Mus musculus: one gene and its partners. The protein of the gene in region 2 purifies or fractionates together with the protein of the main gene of each other region. This does not show direct contact. Links are inferred from orthologs where the notes say so. Each region holds a gene or a part of one and is shown on either strand. Other genes may lie near its edges.

What was found. Proteins that work in one complex are often made in the same cells at the same time.
Region 1: the proteins of Ppm1g (region 2) and Kpnb1 purify together in Homo sapiens (affinity purification with mass spectrometry; 3 studies listed by BioGRID and IntAct, with this or other methods). This does not show direct contact. The link is inferred for Mus musculus from reciprocal best matches to the Homo sapiens genes PPM1G and KPNB1.
Region 3: the proteins of Ppm1g (region 2) and H2ax purify together in Homo sapiens (affinity purification with mass spectrometry; 4 studies listed by BioGRID and IntAct, counting the BioPlex papers as one, with this or other methods). This does not show direct contact. The link is inferred for Mus musculus from reciprocal best matches to the Homo sapiens genes PPM1G and H2AX.

What each region holds. Positions count from the first base shown.
Region 1 is NC_000077.6:97,183,643-97,191,073, forward strand, and holds the start of Kpnb1 (importin subunit beta-1), read right to left. Parts: upstream 4,251-7,431; 5' UTR 3,944-4,250; coding exon 3,904-3,943; intron 3,806-3,903; coding exon 3,747-3,805; intron 1,468-3,746; coding exon 1,285-1,467; intron 1-1,284.
Region 2 is NC_000071.6:31,215,507-31,223,049, forward strand, and holds the start of Ppm1g (protein phosphatase 1G), read right to left. Parts: upstream 5,040-7,543; 5' UTR 4,917-5,039; coding exon 4,797-4,916; intron 1-4,796.
Region 3 is NC_000075.6:44,331,555-44,338,027, reverse strand, and holds H2ax (histone H2AX), read right to left. Parts: upstream 3,314-6,473; 5' UTR 3,267-3,313; coding exon 2,835-3,266; 3' UTR 1,951-2,834; downstream 1-1,950. Other genes in the region: Hmbs (porphobilinogen deaminase), read left to right, coding at 1-113, 338-376, 553-672, 857-910, 1,016-1,102, 1,183-1,356; Dpagt1 (UDP-N-acetylglucosamine--dolichyl-phosphate N-acetylglucosaminephosphotransferase), read right to left, coding at 4,906-4,971, 5,057-5,212, 5,378-5,465, 5,936-6,124. UniProt on the Homo sapiens protein: Variant histone H2A which replaces conventional H2A in a subset of nucleosomes. Nucleosomes wrap and compact DNA into chromatin, limiting DNA accessibility to the cellular machineries which require DNA as a template.

The DNA.
Region 1 (7,431 bases), on a different chromosome or scaffold from region 2:
GGTTTTCCTAACTTGTGCCAAGTGACAGTAGACAGGATGACTGGAAAAGGGAGGGGGGGTCACTGCTAGGGAAGCACCTGCCTCACAGGACACTAATTTGCCTAAAAGTAGAATCTAAATCCAGCAATTATGATGCCCATAATCTTGACCTGCCTAAATACAAACAGAAACTCCTCTCATTTCCACCTTAATACCCTGAACAAATTATGACTGTGACTATTTAATTTATCAAGTTTCCTTTGGCCCCTATCCATAAAGACCACTAAGTAACTAGTACTTAAAACAAGAAAAAGGCAAGCCTATCTATCTATGTTTGAATCCTGTGCTTTCTAATTCAACAATAACAACAAAACAACAACAAAATCATAAAAAGGCCACAATGCAAAACCAGCAAAGAACTCACTCACAATGCTGAGATCTCAAGAAAGTTTTCCATAACTGGTTTTAAGTACATAAAAAGACAAGCTACACACCCAGGACTCAGAGGCAAAGGCAGTTAGATTGTGAGTTTATGGCCAGCCTAGACTACATAGTGAAACATAAATAGATAGACAAATCTTCAAGCTCTTTGTTTGACTCAAAATTACTTATTTATCTCCCTGACTTTACACATTATCCTGTAAAAACCAGCAAACAACAGGACCTGCCATCCCTAAAACAAAGGGGAGCTGTGGGACTGTGTTGGGGAGAGCAAAACAGCATAACCCTCCCTGCTCTCCAAAGAGTTCAGTTCCCAGCACCCTTGTCTGATCCTCACGATGGCGTGTAACTCCAGATCCAGGGGAATCAACACTCTCTTCTGGCTTCCAAAGTTGCTAAAACATACATAAACACACATTTTTAAAGTAGAAAATATGTTTAAGATATCTATGAAAATCCAGGCATGGTGGCAAACACCTGACCCCTTTTAGAGTAAGTGCAGAAATGTTAGGAGTTCATAGCCACCCTTTAATAAAACCGAGGATGGACTGGGCTACTTAACACCTTGTTACACACTCAAAGATACCCCGGAGTGCAGTGTGGCACTCCCAGTACTTCAGGAGTGAAATCTTTTAAGAGACCCAACTAAAGTTTCCCAAGCTGCTGCAGGTCACCTTAGCAAGCTGAACCCAACAACACACCAAACACCCATTTCCACACCAAGAGACTAATCAGAATAAATTTTTACATTCAGTTAAAGTTGAGGTCTCAGAAATCTGTCATGCTCTATGCCAGGTAAATGAACACTCCCTTACAATGCTGTTCCTTAGACCATGTGACATCAAGGATTGGACAGTCACTTACATAGTTCTTGACTTCCCGTCGAGCATTAGCATCAATAGCGAGCCACCTCTGCTGGTATTGTGCCTTGATATCTGGATCTTTCGATGTCAAAGAGTTCTTAATTTGTAGACCAGCTGCAACTCTGGCAACCTGACTGTTTCCTGGGTTTGCCAGCACTCTGGACAGTTCCACAAGGAACGTGGGCTGTGGAGAAGGTGCATTTGCAAGCATATTAGCAATTTCCCCTTGCTTATAAAGTACTAAACTAGAGAAGCACACAAAATTTAGATCAAATCAAGGTATCTCAGGAAACTGGGAAATCTCTCTTTGAAATAGTACCTGCCTAGACTCAACATTGAAGAGGTTTCCTTGGGTTCAAAAAGTTAAGGCCTGACTAAGCAACAAAAGCCACTTCAAGGACAAGTCACCTGCTATATGAAGAAACAGATTCCTCCTATCAAGAACATGTTTTGAGCCCAAGTCTAATAAATATCTCCCCAGAATTAAAGGCAAGTCGATGCCTGGTGACACGGCAATCCTAGTGACAACTTTCTCCAAGCATGTACAACAATGTCCAGTACTGCAAATCAGCTCAACGAAAAGAATTCTTGAAAAGTATATTAAAAAAAAAAAAATCTTGTTCAAAAACATCAGGACAGCCCTGTGATCTCATGTAAGGCATCCTTTCTAACATATGTGTGCCAGTCTAACATACATGTAAGACCGAGTCCTCCGTGTTTTAGTTCTGCATGTTCAACAAAAGGGATCTGTAAGCCAAAGTGTTAACTAGTTTTCAGAAATTGAAAGAATATGACAATGTGAATGATGAATTGTCAAGAGAAATTGGTTTCATCCCAGCACTTAGGAGGCAGAGGCAGGTGGATTTCAGAGTTGGGAGACCAGTCTGGTCTACAGAAAGTGAGTTCCAGGATAGTCAGGGCTATATAGAGAAATCCTGTCTTGACTCCCCCCCGCCCAAAAAAAAAAAAAAAAAAAAGAGAGAGGGGAAAAAAAAAAAAAAACTGGCTTCATTTAGAAGCAGAACATACCAGGGAGCCTATGGTGTTTTGGACCTAATGTGAACTAACAATGAATCATCCAAAAATCTATGTTTTGAAATACAGGTCCAAAAGATAATCATCTATAACACCCCCCTTCCTCTTTCTGAGCATACAGAGGCACACACAGGGGGGTGGGCCTGTACGTAATCTGTCCAATCAGGAATGTTATAGAAGGCCAAAGTAGACACTTTTTTTAGTGTTAGCAAACTCTTCAAACACAGGAGATAATTCTCAATGTAAGCAAACTCTACAGTAGGCTCAGAACACAATTCTCCAATTTCTATTCTGTGCCACTGAAGAGTTAGGAGCAGGAAAAAGGGCTTCTTGCAAAGTAGCAAAAGCAAAACCAAGAATATACTATGAGCAGAATTCTCAGTCTACACTAAAAAGGAAATGCTTGGAAAGGTGTGAGATAAAAAAACCTTAACACAAGTCGCTTACCTCTCCACCAAAAGTGGTCAGTACAAATCAGATATGTCGCTGTATGGATGTTACTATTTTGCAAAGCTCTCACAAAGGACATTGGGTTACAATGTTTTTTTTCACTTTTTAAAACTTCCTACCTTTAAAGAGACTTTCCATATCATCCACGCTTCCCTCCCCTTCCCCCAAAAAGGAGAGGAGAAACATTCTGGCAATAGGCTGCTTCAATAATCCCACATTTTCCTATACAAAAGTCAGTCACTTTTTCTTTTCTCAAATGTACTTCTTAAATCCGAAAGTATGAAAAACGGGGTTACATTTGTGATTTATCAGAGAATAGGCTCAATCTCAGAAATGAGCCTCAGCCTGAGATCCTTAAAGATGAGTTCTCTGAAAACCTAAGTCCAAACAGAACATTCGTGCACTTAGACCAGGAATGGGATAATAATGGGCAAGAAAAAGAAAAAAATTGTGGCAATGGGTCCAGAGGTGGTCGGGTGCCAGGCGTGGCCATGAGCACAGACCAAGGGAGCTGGGGAAGGGTAGGGCTCTGGGAAGTAGTTGCATACTGCCTCAAAACCAGGGGACAGGAAGGAGAGGCCGGCCGCAGCCAGTACAAGGCAGGCGGCAGGGCGCAGAGCTTCCACATGGCCCCTAGGCCCGGCTCCCCAACCCCCACCCTTGCTGAACACGCAGCGCCATGCAACCTAACTTCCCTTCCCTCCCTCTTTCTCCCTCCCGCAGCACCGCCGCCCTCAGGCCGCGTGGCGATTGGACGGCGATCACCCCGGCGCGCCTCGCTATTGGCCAGACGCGGGGCTCGGGGCGGGACACACCCACCGGCTTCCCGATGGCGGGGTTAGGTTGGGCCGGGCGGGGGGGTAGGGGGACGAGCTGGGGCGGGGTGGGTTCCTGAGGCCTGGGCCTCCAGGAGGGCGGGAAGGGCCGCACGCAGGGATGGGGACGCGGCGGGATGGGGCGCGGCGGGGCGGCACGCACCAGATTCTCCACGGCCGCACGCTCGAGGAACTTCTGCGCCGCTTCCAGCTCCAGCCGATCTGCCGGGAGAGATGGGGGGAGAGGCAGCGGGGTCAGAGGGGCCACCCCCTCCCCCACCCCGGTCACCTCGGCCCGACCCCCCGGCCCCGAGTCCTACCCGGAGACACGGTCTTCTCGAGGATGGTTATGAGCTCCATGGCGGAGGTGACGGCGGCGGGGACTCCTCGCAAGACGGCGGCCCGGCCTGTCGGGCGGCGGCTCCGACTGGGGATGGGGGTTGGGGGTCGGGTGGGAAGGGAGGGTGGGGTGGGGGGTGGGGGTCACCACAAGCCCATTCACCGGCTGCCTCTGGCCAGGCGCTCCGGCTCCCCTTCCTCCCCGCTCTCCTTCCTTCCTTCCGCCCTCCTAATGTGCTAGGCGGCAGCAGCTGCTCCTCTGGCGGCGGGGGAGGGACCCCGGGGGCAGCTCGGAGCGCGGCTGCTGCTCGGGCGGCGGAGGGAGAAAGGAAGGGCGGCAGTGAGTGAGTGAGAGGCGGATCGCAGGGAGGGAGAGAGATCGAGGGAGGGAGGCGGAGGGATATCCTTGCCGGACCTCTCCGCGGCGGCACCGCGCTGCCCAGCGATTGGCTACGGCCGGGGCCACGCGGAACCCCCGATTGGCCGGACGGCTAGCGTTGAAGGGCCGCCACGCGCCCATTGGCCTGCGGGCTTCAAGGTCCGGTTGGCTGGGCGGGCAGCGGGATGGGGCGTGCTTATTGGTCGAGGGGAGGGGCTCTGGGGTGGGGCAGGTAAGAGCGCGCCGCTGATTGGGCTGGCCCGGTAAAGGCCTTCGGGCTCAGCCCGGCTGTGCGCGGGGAGAAGGGTGGGCGGAAGGTAAAGGCTCCAGGCGCGTCGGATTGGCTGGGATCCTGGACGTTGATAGGACGGGGCGCCGGGAGAACTGAAGCGAGGAGTTCGGGGTCGCCGCCGCGCGGAAAGGCGGGAGGCGCCCAGGCTCTTAGGAGTCTGGCGCGGAGCACGACGGGACGCCTCCGGGGTGGGGCGGAGCTGCGCGCGAGTGGCTCGGACTGCGCGCTACGGAGAGCCGTCACTCGCCGCGGTGTACGGAAAGCGAGCCTTTCGCGGGCCTCGGAGGGGGCGGGGACGGGAACCGTTAAAGTCCTGCGCCGCGCCCACAGGAAGCTGCCTTCATGGTGAGGTCGGCTTGCTGCCGCGCTCTGTGCGGAACCGGACCATGAGAACCACGTGGTTCACCTTCCAACGTGCGGATTTGCAAACTGAAGCCCAGAGAGAGAGTGGAGCCTGTCCAAGGTCACACAGCCCATTCCAGACTCGAGCAGAGCTGGCTTCAGGCGCCCCTAATTGCCCTTGGAGACCCCGTCGGGGCCCTGGACTGTTAACAAAGTTTCGCGGAGGCGCGTCCTTAGACCACTTAGCAGTTCCCATAAAGCTTTGATGTCCAGACTTCGTTTACAAGATCTGTGTAGTATTATATAAAGAACGTGTGCATTGACGAGCTGTAGCGACACACCTGCCATCTCAGTATCCCGAAGCCTGAACTACAGTCTGAGATCTTGTTTCAAAAACAAAAAACAAATACAACAAACAAGATAAAAATACGTTGCATATAGTTGCTTAACATTCCCCTCCCCTCATTTGGATACCCAGCTGCAAGTCATGGGGGGATTAGGAGCATATGGGTCAAAATAGCATGTAAATTGTATTGTTTTTAAGGTGTAAAGAAATTGCCCTACACTAGCCACACTTTGGAAACTTGGGATTTAGTGTTCTCTGAAACACTTAAAGTCATAGCCTCGTGGGGTTTTTTAATTGTGTGTATTTTCTGCCTGTAATGTATGTTTCCAATGGCTTCATGTATAGATATGTTCTGAATACTTCCACATCTTATCCTGATTTTAAGAAAGATTTTTTTGTTTACTATGCAAGCATAATTTTTGTTTGGCTGTGATTTGTTGGTTGGGTTGGGTTGCCCCCCTCCCCCCACGGTGGGGGGGGGCGGAGCCAGGTGGTTTCTCTGTATAGCCCTGGCTGTCCTGGAACTCATTCTGTAGATTAGGCTGGCCTTGAACTCAGAGACCCACCTGCTTCTGCCTTCAGAGTGCTGGGATTAAAGGCATGGGCCACCAAGATTGCCCAGGAAATGAGTTCTATTGTAATGTATTCATTAGAATGTAATTCGATTTTTCTTTTTTGTGAGTTTATTCTGTTCTGCCTCTTTCAGACAGGATCTCTAGCCTAGAACTCAATATGTATCTCAGACTGGCTTCAATATTTCTGTAGCCTCCCTTCCTTGGAGTCCTGAGTGCTGGAATTACCCATGGTGCTCTCTCTCCACTGTAAGCATGTGCACACACCTACATGCAGAAGCATGCTGGTCCTGTGCCTCCGTAACTCTGATTCTCAAGACAAAAGGCAGACTTAATGCTATAGAAACTTGAAGTTTTGCAACAAGGAATGTAGGCCCGGCTGGAGAGATGGCTCAGCGGATAAGAGCACTGACTGCTTTTCCGAAGGTCCTGAGTTCAAATATCAGCAACCACATGGTGGCTCACAACCATCCGTAAAGAGATCTGACGCCCTCTTCTGGAGTGTCTGAAGACAGCTACAGTGTACTCACATATAATAATTAAATCTTAAAAAAATAAAAAAGAGCTGGGCTTGGTAGTGGACGCCTTTAATCCCAGCACTTGGGAGGCAGAGGCAGGCAGATTTCTTGAGTTTGAGGCCAGCCTGGTAAGAAAGAAAGAAATGTAGGCCCATCATTCCTCATACAGTATTTCAATAATTTACCTAGTGATTTCCTCTAGCTTATCAGCTCCCTAACCCCAACCTTTTGCTCTCAACTAGGAGGACTGCTCTGTATGTGTGGCTTTAAGTCAATGATGGGGAAGCTGGGAATGTATATCAGAGGGGTTGCTTAGTGCATTAACTAGCAGTCCTCCGTAGTTTTATCAGTCCACAGGAATGGGTGCCTTGGAGAAGTAGATATAGGATCAGGAGGAAAGTTCAAGGTCATGTTTGGCTGATCTGAGCTACATGAAACCCTCTCTCAAATAGTAGGGACTGGAGAGATGTCTCTGTGGTTAAAAGCACGAATTGCTTTTCCAGAGGATCTGGGTTCAGTTGCCAGCACACACATGACAGTTTACAGCCTCCTAACTCCAGTTCCAGGGGATCCAGCGCCCTCTTCTAGACGTTTAGAAATGAGACTCGGGGCTGGTGAGATGGCTCAGTGGGTAAGAGCACCCGACTGTTCTTCCGAAGGTCCAGAGTTCAAATCCCAGCAACCACATGGTGGCTCACACAACCATCCGTAACAAGATCTGACTCCCTCTTCTGGTGTGTCTGAAGACAGCTACAGTGTAGTTACATATAATAATAAAATAAATCTTTAAAAAAAAAAAAAAGAAAAGAAAAAAAGAAATGAGACTCAGTGACATGACATCCCTGAGAATCCTGTCATTTTCTTACAGATTGCCCAGGCAGGATGACCCATAATTTGGTTCCAGGAAACAAACTGATGTCCTGCAATTTGCTGAGCACACCCCTGCCGCAGCACCAGTCTGTATAGGACCAGTCAGAGGGCATGAGATGGCGAAAGGATACCAGGGTGGCAATAAAATTACTCTCAAGCGTCAGATCCTTAGTGAAACCAAATTGGATTG
Region 2 (7,543 bases):
ACTCATAGCAATTCCATTCTTAGGTATATACCCAAGATATATTTCCACACAAAAAGTTGTATACATATGTAGGCAAATGTGCAGATCTTAACATCTATTAGCAATGAAGAAACAAAATTAAGAGAAACCTTATTCAGTTATTAAAAAGCCATGGAATGAATCAGAATACATCAATGCCAGTTTAAAAATATAACATATAGGAAGCTGGAAGAGATAGCTCACTGGTTAAAAGCATTGGTTATTCTTGCCGAACCAAAACCTGGATTTGGTTCCCAGCACCAACACGACCTCCCAGTGACTCAACTATCTGTAACTCCAGTTCCAGAGGATCCAACACTCTTCTGGCTTCTATAGGCATCAGACAGTCCTATGAGGAGTTCAAGGTCATCTTCAGTAAGTTTGAGGTTATATAAGACCATTTCAATCAAAACAAATCATCTTGAGAGTTTTCTATTCAACATGATATTCAAGTCAAGATGTTCTTGTAAAAAAATTTAAGATGTGTTTTTATTTTATGTGTATGGGCATTTTGCCTGAATTATCTGTGCATCACATGTGTAGCTGGTATCCAGGCAGGCCTGAAAGAGGCCTGGAGAAGGTGTAAGATCCCCTGAAACTGGATTTACAGAAGGCAGTTGTTAGCCCCCATACCGGGGTCCTTTGGAAGAGCATCAAGTTGCTCTTATCTGCTGAGACATCATCTATTCAGTCCTTCAATAATCTTTCATGATGACCACTCAAAGTTAGATTCAAAACATATCAATACCAAATAGGGTCTGGTGATCCAAACCTGTAATCCTAACACTCAGGAGGCAGAGATAGGAGGATACCTGCAAGTTCCAGAACAGACAGGGCTACATAATAAATTCCTGTTTCCTACCCTCAGCTTCTCAAAAAGGCTGCAGAAATAACAGGAATAAGTAAAGGCAGTTGCCACCAAGTCTGGGCGACCTGCGCTCAATCCTAGGACCTCCATGGTAGGAACAGAAATGAAATTTCCACAAGCTGTCCTTTGAACTCATGTGTGCTATAACACACGCATATCCACATACAAACAATGCTTAAAAAAAAAATACAGAGAGTTTTTAAAAGGAGGAAAGTAGTGGAGAGAGACGGCTCAGCAGTTAAGAGCACTGGCTGCTCTTCCAGAGGTCCTGAGTTCAAATCCCAGCAACTACATGGAGGCTCACAACCATCTATAAAGGGATCTGATGCCCTCTTCTGGCATCCAGGTATACATGCAGAAAGAGCACTCATTAAAAAAAAAACAAAAAAACGCCGGGCTTGGTGGCGCACGCCTTTAATCCCAGCACTCAGAAGGCAGAGGCAGGTAGAATTCTGAGTTCAAGGCCAGCCTGGTCTACAAAGTGAGTTCCAGGACAGCCAGGGCTATACAGAGAAACCCTGTCTCGAAAAACAAAAAGACAAAAAAAAAACAAAAAACAAAAAAACCCACAAACCTTTAATCCCAGCACTCGGGAGGCAGAGGCAGGAGGATTTCTGAGTTCGAGGCCAGCCTGGTCTACAAAGTGAGTTCCAGGACAGCCAGGACTATACAGAGAAACCCTGTCTCAAAAAACCAAAAAAAGAGAGAGAGAGAGAGAGAGAGAGAGATGGCTCAGTGGTTAAGAGCAATGACTGCTCTTCCAGAGGTCCTGAGTTCAATTCCCAGCAACCACATGGTGGCTCACAACCATCTGTAATGGGACTAATGCCCTCTTCTGGTGTGTCTGAAGACTGCTACAGTGTATTCATATACATTAAATAAATAGTATTTCTTTAAAAAGTTAAAAAAATAAAGAGGAGTATTTATTGAATTTTTGTAACATCCCAACTCTCCACAAAACTGTTTTCTTTCAGAGGAGCCTCAACAATCCTTTTCCTTTCAACAGTACATTGCGTTCAAACTGGACTTCTCACCAGCCACCAAAACCTCACAATTTTTGTTTGTTTCTCAGCACCTCCTCCTCCTTTTAACTCCATAGGATAGCTCAACAAGCTGGAGAATCCCTCCAAATCACAAAGAAGGGGGTGTATCACTACAGCATTTTGACACCCTCTCCACTTCCTCCCCCAAATTCTAGTTCTACAGCAAGAGGGTTGGAGAGACTGAGACAGAAGGTATGAAATGCCAGCTTTTGGTGACTACCACCCACCCTTGGTTCAAGAGAGAGACTAAAACAGGCTTAAAGCTGTGTCAGACTTTTACTAACTTCTGTAAGGTAAACCAATACAACTTATCTGAACCCAGTCTTTAGAATCAAGCCAACAATGTGAATGGGCTTCATTAATTGGTGGAATTAAGTCTATTCCTTAGGAAAAGAGGAACCAAGACATAGCATAACTCTTTCCCCACCTTTTTGGCCTATTGAACTATATACACTCTTAGATCAAGATCTTATTTTCTGAAAGATTCTTCTAAGAGACTAAAAACTTTAGTGTCTTTCTTAAAATAGCAAAGATACTATGTAATACTTTGAGGGAGGACACAAACCTAGAAAGAAAGTATCTATGCAGCAGAAAGGGATCTTAACTAGCACTTCAAGATTAGGCATATTTACTCAAACAAAAGTAAATCCAGGAATAGCACAGCAGGAGCTGTAATGCTCAAACATTGCCTTTAGAGTGAAGATTATGGTCTCAAGAACAGTTGAGCAAAATTCTTCATACCAAACAGCCCTAAACTCAAAATGAAGTAGATTTTTAATCTCCAATGGAGGAACCAAAACACAGTGGGAAATGCTTAGCAGAGAAGTAAAATCACAGAATTCCTAGATCTAAAAACACTCAGCTCAATTCATAAAAAAACTAGAAAGAGTGCCCCCAAAAGTGGAAAAACCATTTCATTCCACGGAAATTAAAAAACAAGAAACTTGAAAAGTCTATGAGATGAGAATAAAAGAACCCCATAGCCTAACCCAAACACCAGCCAGACTAACTTTATGGCTTTTCTTCCACCACCACCCTCCCCAACCCCCACTGCACTTGAAAGAACTAGTTATCAGCAGAGGCCAGAAGAGGGCACCGGATTCAACCACGGGTTTTTTTTTTTTTTCTTCCGAGACAGGGTTTCTCTGTAGCCTTGGCTGTCCTGGAACTCACTCTGTAGACCAGGCTGGCCTCGAACTTGGCTGTCCTGGAACTCACTCTGTAGACCAGGCTGGCCTCGAACTCAGAAATCCGCCTGCCTCTGCCTCCCAAGTGCTGGGATTAAAGGTGTGCACCACCACGCCCGGCTTTTTTTTTTTTTTTTTTTTTTTTTGAACCACAGGTTGTTGGAACCTCCTTGACATGGGTGGGCACTGAGAATCACACTCTGGTCCCCTGTAAGAACAGCAAGTTGCACTTAGCCACCCCCAAGGCTTTCCTTCTGAAGCTATACTATACCCAGGTATCTCTAACTTTACCCAGTCATTACTACAGCATGCCACTGAGAAATATGAAAGCTGTGCTTCATCTTGACACCTATATAAGAACAGCTCCTATTGTCTTGAACACCTTAATACAATTCTTTGTATCAAGGTACAAGTACCCTAATCTTTCTAGGCCTCAATTTCCAAGCCATTAAATGTGGGCACTGAGCCAAATGAATAGGACCCTCTCCTTGCTGAAATTATTTATCTAGATTCTGCTGGATCTAGATAATGCTAGAGCCATAATCAAAAGCTGGTGAAAATAGCTTTTGAGTCTGAGAACAAACCATTTAGGTTCACACTGTCATTCCAGAGCTAACCACAGGGAGGAGCGAGGGAATTTGAGAGAAAAAAAAAAAAAAAAAAAAAAAAAAAACACCAAGGGAAACTATTTGGCTGTTACCTGTAGCCCACCTACTAACTGGATAAACCCTCGATTCCAGACATAATTAGAACTTTTCACTAGTCCCTTAGACTTCACACAAAATTGCTCAAAGACACCTATTCCCTGTTCATTGTAGTTTCACATCCATTTGCTCAACACTGTCAATCCAAATGATTGCTTTCCCTTTCATCCAAAGTGGACTTTTCTTTTCTTTTTAAAAGTTATTCGTAGATGGTGACAAAAAAGGATTGATGACAAGACTGAAAATCGAGTATACTAAATTATATGCAGAGGAAAATGACAACTCAGTAAGTTTTAAAGAAATCGAGTAAGAAAAAAAATTACAAGCATATTTCAAAAAATAAAAAATAAAAGCAAGCCTAGTGACAGACACGATTCCTTTCCTAAAGATCATAAAAGATTTCGAAAAGAATACGAACGAGTGACAATTCTCGAAGGTCAAGCGGGGCTTCTGAAATTAACATGAGGTGTCTAAGGCTAAAAGCAACTGAGGGTTAAGAATGGAAAGCACATTATTACCCGGGCTCCTTTTCGCCATCAAGTTTGTAGCCCCAAGAGGCCTGCCACATTACATATTTCAAGAATAAAAACGAACCAGTCATTCACATCTATTCGACCAATAAGCGAACAAATAACGAGTCTTCCCTCTTCCCTCTGACAACCCCATGCCGCTGGAAAAGCTGGAGGGCTGGGCTGGCACCAGAGGATGGCGCGAAGGTACGGAGAGACGGCGGCCAGTAGGCGGAAGGTGCCTCTTCTCACATGGCAGGGCTCCCGCAGCCACTAGCCATCAGGCCGCGGTCCCCAAGCTCTAGCCGCTCCCTCTCCGCCCGGATCCCGCGCTCGCCGCCGCCTCCCGCACCGTGGCTGCAGGCTCTCGTCAGGGACCCCTGCTTGAGGAGAACCCCATCCCCCTCGCTCCCTTTCTCTGTCAGGTTCCTGCCATGCAGTGGCCAGCCGCTGGGGCCCTGTCTCACCTCCATGGAGACGCGCCAGCCTTGCATGGCGGAGAAGCCGTAGGGCAGCGGGAGCCGCGGGGCGCCAACCCCGTCCCCGGAGCACTTCACCGTGTTGGGCTGAGAGAGGTAGGCACCCATGGCGGCGGATGGCTGGCTACCTGAGGAACAGGTAAGCGGGACGCGACCCTTGCCGGCGCCGGAGCCGGGGCCCCTGGGGGCGCGCGTGGCAAGGAGCGGGCCCGGCTGCGCAGTCGACGCAAGGTGCCGGCGAAAGGCGCGAGGCCGGCTAGGAGGCGGTAACGGGACAGGAGCGGGGAGAGGGCGGAAGCGGAAACCGCGCTGCTCCAGGCCCCGCCCTACTGGCGCGGTGAGCCGCTGCGGGCGGTCATTTCCTTAGCAACTCGCCCCGCCCTCGGGGACAACGGCCCGCCCAACCGCCGCTCCCGCGAGACTGGTTGCCACGCCCACCAACGGCTGGGGCTGGAGGGAGCCATGGCGATGTGCGGCCATCTCCACGCTGACCGTGCTTTAGCACGGGGCTCTGGTCTCAGCAGTTTTTGCCTGAAGTCTCTATTGTGTGGGACCTGGGGCTTCCAGTTGCGTTCTGCGGTTTTGTCAGCCCTGTCCCTCCCTCTCTCCCTCCACGCCCTCAGATTCCGACAAACCCCGCCGGATTCGGTTCAATTAAAGTTGACTAGCGTTTGTACTGCGCTTCCGCGGTCTTTGGCCAGGCTCTGTGAGGCCTGTACTGACAAAGGAAAACGGAGACCTAGGTCTGTGGAAAAATTCGAATTAATACAGGGTAGAAACTGTTTGGTGCAGTGCTGGGTGAGGCGAGAGCAAAGAGGCGGGAACGAGCTGCTTATCGCCAATGTAGATTTAAGACCCTCGGAGAAGGTGCCTGAGGGTGGCGTTTAGCCACGGGAGAAGGGAATACGGATACAAGGCTGGAGGACTGAGGAAAGTGTAAACTACATTGGGCTGGCTTATTGAGGAAGCTGGCTGGCCTCTTTGTGGAGAGCGATTCTAAGTAGGAACAGATCTAGCGATGGATGGATGGCCTAGCATCAAGATGGGTAATGTGGTCGTCATTGTGGTGGTGCCTGTTTTGCGTTTGTTAGTCTAATTCTGTGTGCACTGGACACCAGAGGAAGAGTCTGGCGGGTACTGTAACTGGTTAGAATGCTCTTAATCTGAACGTGATGAACTAAGGACTGGGGTGCTGGCCACGGGTAGTTAGGGTTGGAGGGACAATCCAGCAGGTTCTTTTCATTATATGGATTATATATAACGGAAAGGAGTAATTTCCTGAAAGTAAAAGAAAATCAACTCATTGGAAAGAACTGGGGACTAGAGAGCTGGCTCAGAGGTTAAGAACACTGGTAGCTCTTCCACATTAGCGGGGTTCAATTCCAGCACCAACATGGCTGTCTATAACTCTGGTTCCAAGGAACCAGACGCCCTCTTCTGGCACTAGGCGTCCAAGTGGTGCACAGACATAATACATGCAGGCAAAACACACATGCATAAATTTTAAATAAATAACAAAAAACTAAGCCCAGCATTATAGCTCATTGCCAGTAATTCCAGCACTTAAGAGGCTGAGGCAAGATCACAAATCCCAGGTTTCAGGACAACTTGGGCTATAGAATTAGACCCTCAACTCATAAGCAAATCCCAGAATTACAGTTCTTCTGTCCAATATTTTTTAAAGATTTATTTTTATATGTATTTTGTATGTATACTTTATATGAGTACACTGTCGCAGTCTTCAGACACACCAGAAAAGGGCATCCGATCTCTTTACAGATGGTTGTGAGCCTCCATGTGGTTGCTGGGTATTGAACTCAGAACCTCTGGAAGAGCAGTTAGTGCTCTTAACTGCTGAGCCATCTCCAGCTCAAATTTCTTAATTATCAGAAATCACTAAAATTGGTCCTCTCCACAACCTTCTGTATTTCCGTAATAACTCAGTTCATCAGTCAGCCTTCTTGTGCCCCCCAAGGCTTGCTTTCACCCACCAAATACAACTCTCCACCCACCTTACTTGGTGGGAACTTCTCCAGGCTGCTTCAGGATCTCCCTATCCCCTGCAGAAGTTTGGATCCCCATTAATCTTTCCTGTGTCCCCATTGTTCCTCGAATACTGTGTGTGCTAAATCTTAAATGTCTGTTGAATTCATAAATGCATAAATGGTACCAAGGCTTTGACTTTGGATGGCAAAATTAGATGGGTGCATACACACACACACACACAAGATGCTGTTTGGTATGTGCACCAGTTGGGAAGAAGCTGTCCCATTTAAGGTGAGAGTTTCCTATAAAAAATAGTGGAAATTCTGGGTTGGAGTTAGGCCATGAGGGTAGATTTGAATGAGGCTTGTAAGTTGTCATGAACCTCAATGAGATCTCTGGAAAAGGGGGTACTGGGGGGAACATGCAATTACTCTACTGCTACTGTTGCTGTTTATTCTTGGGTTTGAATTTGTTCCCTAACACATGACACTAGAGAGAGTGGTACAACGTATAATCCCAGCACTTGGATGGTACAGATAGGATCAGGAGATCAAAGTCATCCTTGGCTATGAAAGTCCCCCGAACCGGGAGGGACCCTCACTCAAGCCCAGGGATGGCGTGACGCCCAAGAACTCAGGAGAGACCGGTCTTGATGCAAACAGCAAGAGGTTTAATCAGGAAAGGCCAGTGCACTGGGGACGACTCGTATCCCATGCAGGGGTAGAGGAGTTGACCCTGAGCTCAAGGGT
Region 3 (6,473 bases), on a different chromosome or scaffold from region 2:
GGGGAAACCTCAACACCCGCCTCCGGAAGCTGGATGAGCTGCAGGAATTCAGTGCCATCGTCCTGGCTGTGGCTGGCCTACAGCGCATGGGCTGGCAGAACCGGGTGGGCCAGGTAGGAGCTGCCCTGTTCTGCTTCCCATTGAATCTGCCTCTCTCCTGCCTTGATTTCTTCCTGACCATTCTGCCAACAACACTACAACCAGAAGCCCAGGCTAGGGATATTGGGACTCATTGCTGGACTTCCTACCTGTGCCTTCCCCAGGCTTCCTAGATTGGCAAACCCTAGCTCACTGCCTTTGAACATCCCCTATCCCACCATCTTGTCTCTCTCCACAGATTTTGCACCCAGAAGAATGCATGTATGCTGTGGGTCAGGTAGGTTTGCCTGGAGAGAACCTGGTTCATAACCTTTGGCACCTGCTATCCATCAAATAAGATGTTTAGAGAGGGACAGGTTTGGTTGTTATGCATAAGACCCAGGGAAGCAGGTAGAGGTGTGTTTCTCATGCTTAGCTCTATTACTAGAGAAGATCAGGCCTGTTGTTCTTTAGGGAGCCCTAGCCGTGGAAGTCCGAGCCAAGGACCAGGATATCTTGGACCTAGTGAGTGTGTTGCACGATCCTGAAACTCTGCTTCGCTGCATTGCTGAAAGGGCTTTTCTGAGGCACCTGGTAAGATGGGCTCCTCCCATGGTGTTGTGGGGAAACCAGGAAGGGCAGTAGGGAGAGAGATTTGTCAAGTACTCAGTATGTAATGTTTTGTATGTATGGAGAGGACCTTGATCTGGCCCCTTGAGGTCTGTGGTCAAAAGTGGTGTTAAAGGCCCTTAGAGCTCAAAGGAACATATCATTGCAGGAAGGAGGCTGCAGCGTGCCCGTAGCAGTGCATACAGTGATGAAAGATGGGCAAGTAAGCCAGGGAAATGGATGAGGGGAGGGACTGTCATTTCCATGTGCACCGAAACATCTAAGTAACTTTCTTTAAATATCCTGGTACAAACATTTTATTTCCTAGCTGTACCTGACTGGTGGAGTCTGGAGTCTAGATGGCTCAGATAGCATGCAAGAGACTATGCAGGCCACCATCCAGGTCCCTGTTCAGGTATTGACTGGGAGATGAGGAAGGAATAAATAGAACTGCTTGTAATCTTCCTCTTACCAAAATTGTAACCTGTCATCCAGCAAGAAGATGGTCCAGAAGATGACCCACAACTGGTTGGAATCACTGCCCGTAACATTCCAAGAGGAGCCCAGCTAGCTGCTGAGAACCTGGGCATCAGCCTGGCCAGCTTGCTGCTCAACAAAGGAGCCAAGAACATCCTGGATGTTGCACGGCAGCTTAATGATGTGCGCTAACTGGTCTGTAGGGCACAGGAACCCTGGCTGCCACTCCACTGCCTACTTCTGGCTTCCAAGTGCCCTGTGCTCCATCCCTAGGGATGTGATTATCCCAGGAAATTGAACCACGGGGTTGTTGAGACTTCCACTTTGGAAGATATGCCTCACCTTGGGGCCTCCATATCTGCCTTTCCCTCAGTAGTTGGGGGCTTCATCTCTTTAGAGAAAGTCCATGCCAATCTTTGAATGTAACCAATACCACTAATAAACCAGTTTAGAATGTGGTTCTTCTGATAGAGTTGGGGAAGATATGAATAAACCCAAAGCCCTTTTAAACTTGAATTGAGTCTGAGACCTTTCTGTTGTAAAACACGCTGTGATTTGCCTCATGTTCTCAAAAAAAAAAAAAAAAAAAAAAAAAAAAAAAAATCAGCCTTCAATTCCTACAGCCTGTCTTCAGTCAACGGGATCTTCGTGGATTACATAGCCTTTCCCACTCCCACGGCCTGCAGAAAGGGAAGTCCCATTCTCTCCCAAGATGTGCCAGGCACATGGCTCTACCACGGAGCTATATGTCCAGCCCTGGGACTACAGCATTCAACATTAAACCACTTTTTTAAAAAAACAAAACCAAACGATCCTTTAATAAAATTAGCCCATTAAATCTCCCCACTTAAGGTTCTAAACTTGTAATAGCTGCAAAAGTTCCAGTTCAGAAGCCAGAGGCTCAGTCCAGACAGGGATTCACCGGCTTGTGCTGGTATCTAGGTGTTTGGGTTGTAGTTGAGTCGCTGGGGAAGAGGGGATGGATGGCTAGGCCCGGCTGCCAGTCGCCTGCGGCAGGTATAGAACTCTTGTCCACAGGCCGGTAAGCGTCTCTCTGACCCTTGCCGGGAGGTATTCCTAGAGAAACTGGGTTCACATTACAACCATTTTTGGCCCCGCCACACCACACTGGCCTACGAATGGCGACAGGGTCAACTGGTATGAGGCCAGCAACGGTGACACCGAAGGAAACAATGTGATCCATTTCTCCTCCTCTAAGCCCGGCAATCAAGTCACTTTTCAAAGGTCCAGGCGAGGGCTAAGCACCAAGCTGAAGCAAAGACGCCGGGGCTGTAGCTGCGGAGGGACTAACCTTCAAGCCCACCGCGGCCGGACGTCTGAGCGAGGGGCCGAGACTCCGGGAAGGCGCCGCAGCCTCTCCGCACGGAGCCGTCGTCCACAACCGAGAACGGCGAAGCGATGTCACGAGCTCCGGGATGGGCAGGTGCCGCGGCGCCCGCGTCCTCCGTGGCAGAACCGGAGGCCGTGCGGGGTAAGGGGAAGAGTGGCGCGAGGGCGGGGAGGGGAGAGGAGGGAAAGAGAAAGGATGGGGACGCGGCAAGCCGCCGCAGCCCGAAGTGGCTCAGCTCTTTCTGTGAGGGAGGTGGTGGCCCTTAAAAGGGCCTTTGTGGAGGTGTGGGGAGGGCTGGGCGGCCTCGGCGCGGGCCCCCTCAGTACTCCTGAGAGGCCTGCGAGGCCTTCTTGCCGACCGCCGGCGCCTTGGGCCCCACGGTGGCGCTGCTCTTCTTGGGCAGCAGCACGGCCTGGATGTTGGGCAGGACGCCGCCCTGCGCGATGGTCACGCCGCCCAGCAGCTTGTTGAGCTCCTCGTCGTTGCGGATGGCCAGCTGCAGGTGGCGCGGGATGATGCGCGTCTTCTTGTTGTCGCGGGCCGCGTTGCCCGCCAGCTCCAGGATCTCGGCAGTGAGGTACTCGAGCACCGCTGCCAGGTACACCGGCGCGCCTGCGCCCACGCGCTCGGCGTAGTGGCCTTTCCGCAGCAGCCGGTGTACGCGGCCTACAGGGAACTGAAGGCCGGCGCGTGAAGAGCGCGACTTGGCCTTGGCGCGGGCCTTGCCGCCGGTCTTGCCGCGTCCGGACATAGTGTACGAGGTAGAAGAGCTGCGAACAACGCTGAGAGACCACGAACTACCAACCGCCGCAGTCAACGGTCGCCTGGCCGGCCAAGCCCGGCCTTATAAACTCCCTGGACACGCCCCCGCTTCCTCCTGATTGGTTCCTTTTTTAATACCCACCTCTGGTTGGTTGCAATTAACCCTTCGGTGACGCGCCTTAGCTGAGAGAACGCGCCCAGTGATTGGTCCAATTTGAAAACCTTTTACCCGGGGAAGAAGACAAGGCGGAGTGGCCGCAAGCCGGAGGCTGCTCACCCCTGGAAATGGCCAATCCGTGTAGAGCGCGCGAAATTTAAACGCTACGGCGCGACAACAAAACCTGAAGACTAGAAGGGTGGAGCTTGGAGCTACCTCTACAGTTTCTGGGAAATTTGAGTCGGTCTTTGGTCTTAAAGGAAAAGGGTCTACACTATAAGCAGCGTTCTCCTTCCAGGTTAGAGCACTTCCCACTCCCTCCTCTAATCTGGTAGACGGAGGGTTTATTTGTTCATTATTATTTTTAGGTTTGTTTGTTTGTTTTTCGAGACAGGGTTTCTCTGTGTAGCCCTGGCTGTCCTGGAACTCACTCTGTAGACCAGGCTGGCCTTGAATTCAGAGATCCGCCTGCCTCTGCCTCCCAAGCCTGAGGATTAAAGGCGTGCGCCACCACCATCTGGCTTTTGTTTGTTTGAGACAGGGTTTCTCTGAGTAGCCCTGCCTGTCCTGGAACTCAGAGATCAGCCTGCCTCTGCCTCCCTAGTGCAGATTAAAGGGAGGGAGGGTTTAAAAGAAACGAAATGAAACCTCCTAGGAGTTTAATCCTATGCCAGAAAATGGAGCACTGTGATCTTTTATGCTATCACAAGTTTGTGCTGCGATATTTATTCAACATGTTCTGTCTGGTCTTAGTTTGTGACAGGCCTTTTTTGCAAGAAAGGGTCTGATGGAACAGAGATCGGTATCCTATTGGGAAAGGTACCCGGTCTAACCCTTCCAATCTATCCTAAAATGCCTATATAAAAAATAAATATACCAGACTTGGCATATAGTTCAGTGGTAGAGCAGTTAAGTATAAGGAAGCCCCGGTGTTCACTCCTGAAGCACCACGAAGGTTAAAAAGGACAGAGGGAGGGGATGCTACACTAGAGGAACAAGTAAAAGGCAGTCCTTTATTGTCACCGTTCTGAGCACATGGCCCTGCCTCTACGCTTCCCAATCACAACACTTCATTTGATAGTCAAATGTGAGGTCACCTTGGAGTATGTAGCCCTAACTCTAGCCCTAGCCCAGGTTCTCTCTCAAGGCTCAGGTGAATTCCTTTAGAGTTAGCGCTCTGAAAGCTGAGCTACGAATATTTGCATAATAGAGGCTACAAGCCCACCTGGTGAGGCTGCAGATGGGACAGAAAGGGAGGGCAAGGCAAGATGAAAGCCCTAGGCAAAGTCCAACTAGCGGACTTCAAGTCCAGCAAGGTGTCCATCCAGGATATCAGTAGTCACAGATGGCAGAAGCTGAGAACAAAAGTGTCAGCGAGGCCTGGACCAGAGGGTCATCTCGGACCAGACAGAGGCTGGTCCTGGCTGAGGTCCAATGGAGACTGTGAGGTAAAGGGCAGCTGTCAGGGAGCTCAGACATCATAGAAGAGTCGGACGAGTTGGTAACGAATGGAGAAGGTGGCGGCGCTGCTTAGGACCTGGGAGAAGTGGACTGGAATTAGAAGCAAGGCCAACCAGAGATGTAAACGCCATGGCATTACTAAGCCCCACCCTGAGCTGTACCTGCAGGAGCAGCAGGAGCAGGGTGAGGTTTCTCTCATGTATAGGCCCAAAGACTTTAAGTAGCAAGTTGATGAGGGTCATGTTGTTACACTCAGTGAAGGCACCGTCCTCACTCTCACCTTGGTGAACTGTCACTAACCGGAGGTTCTCTGCTACCTGCAGGGACCAGAGGTGAAGATGACTTCAGTTATGCAGATCTACTTCACGAATAGGGATCTTCTTGATGTTCCCAAACTCCCCTTGGGCCTGAAAAGGCCTAGGTTTCTCTTTTCCCAAGTTAAGGATGGCGGCCTCGGGCCTTACCTCCTGTTACCTTGTTACCTTTAAAATAAAGGTGCCCAGGAAAGAGAGGTTCTTGGTCTTGAACTTGGAATAGCTCATTTCCAGTTTGCCTGTCTTTGCGTTGAGTCTGCAATGGGAAGATAATTTCATTTGACTGAATCAGAGACCTCTGCACCCTGGTTACTAAGAAGAGTACTGAGGCCGGGCGTGATGGCGCACACCTTTGATCCCAGCACTCAGGAGGCAGAGGCAGGCGGATTTCTGAGTTCAAGGCCAGCCTGGTCTACAAAGTGAGTTCCAGGACAGCCAGGGCTATAAGGAGAAACCCTGTCTTGAAAAACCAAAAAAAAAAAAAAAAAAAAAAAAAAAAGAGTACTGAGTACTTATGTACTGGAGTTGGTTTCTGGCTCCGTGATCAGGGCTGTTGTAAGCATTACATACTATGTAAGTAAACGAGCTTCGTAAATTACAATGGGCTACCCACATACAGTCGGCTCATCTTTCCCCTCATGTTTTTTTTACATAGGAAATGCAAGTTGGCTTTAGCTATCCCAAGTCAGAAACTATTATGACCCTTGAAAGCCCCAGAGTGGTTACCTGGGCATCCGGTGTCGAGGGCAGGGGATGATATGGAAGAGCTGAGGCAGTGAGTAGAGGAAATTGAATACTTGTGGCATAAAGAAGAGCAGCATGGTCTTGCTGAAGTGTCCCAAGATCCCCACCACGGCAAAAGTCATGCCCGCAAAGTAACAGAAGGTGTCTCCCACAAACACGCGGGACGGGTACCTGTGTGGGAGAGAGGATTTCAGCCAATGGCAAGAGTTGTTACTGACTCTTTCTTTCAGTCACTCGCTCTGAGTAACAGGCCAGCCTTGACCCTGAGTTCTAAAAGAAAGGCTGTTCCAGAAACTCTATAGGCCCCACGGCCCCCAACTCATCTACTCCTAGGGGCTACACAGCATTTGTTCCCAACTCCTGCAGGATAGGCAGGGATTCCACACCAGCACCAGGCTGCTCTGTAGCTCACCGGGCAAGCAGTCACCTAGCGAGTACAAGGTCATGGATTTGATCCCCAGCACGAGGGTGTGCAGATGGTGGGGTGAAGGGTGGGATCTAATAGCACATGCCTGTATTT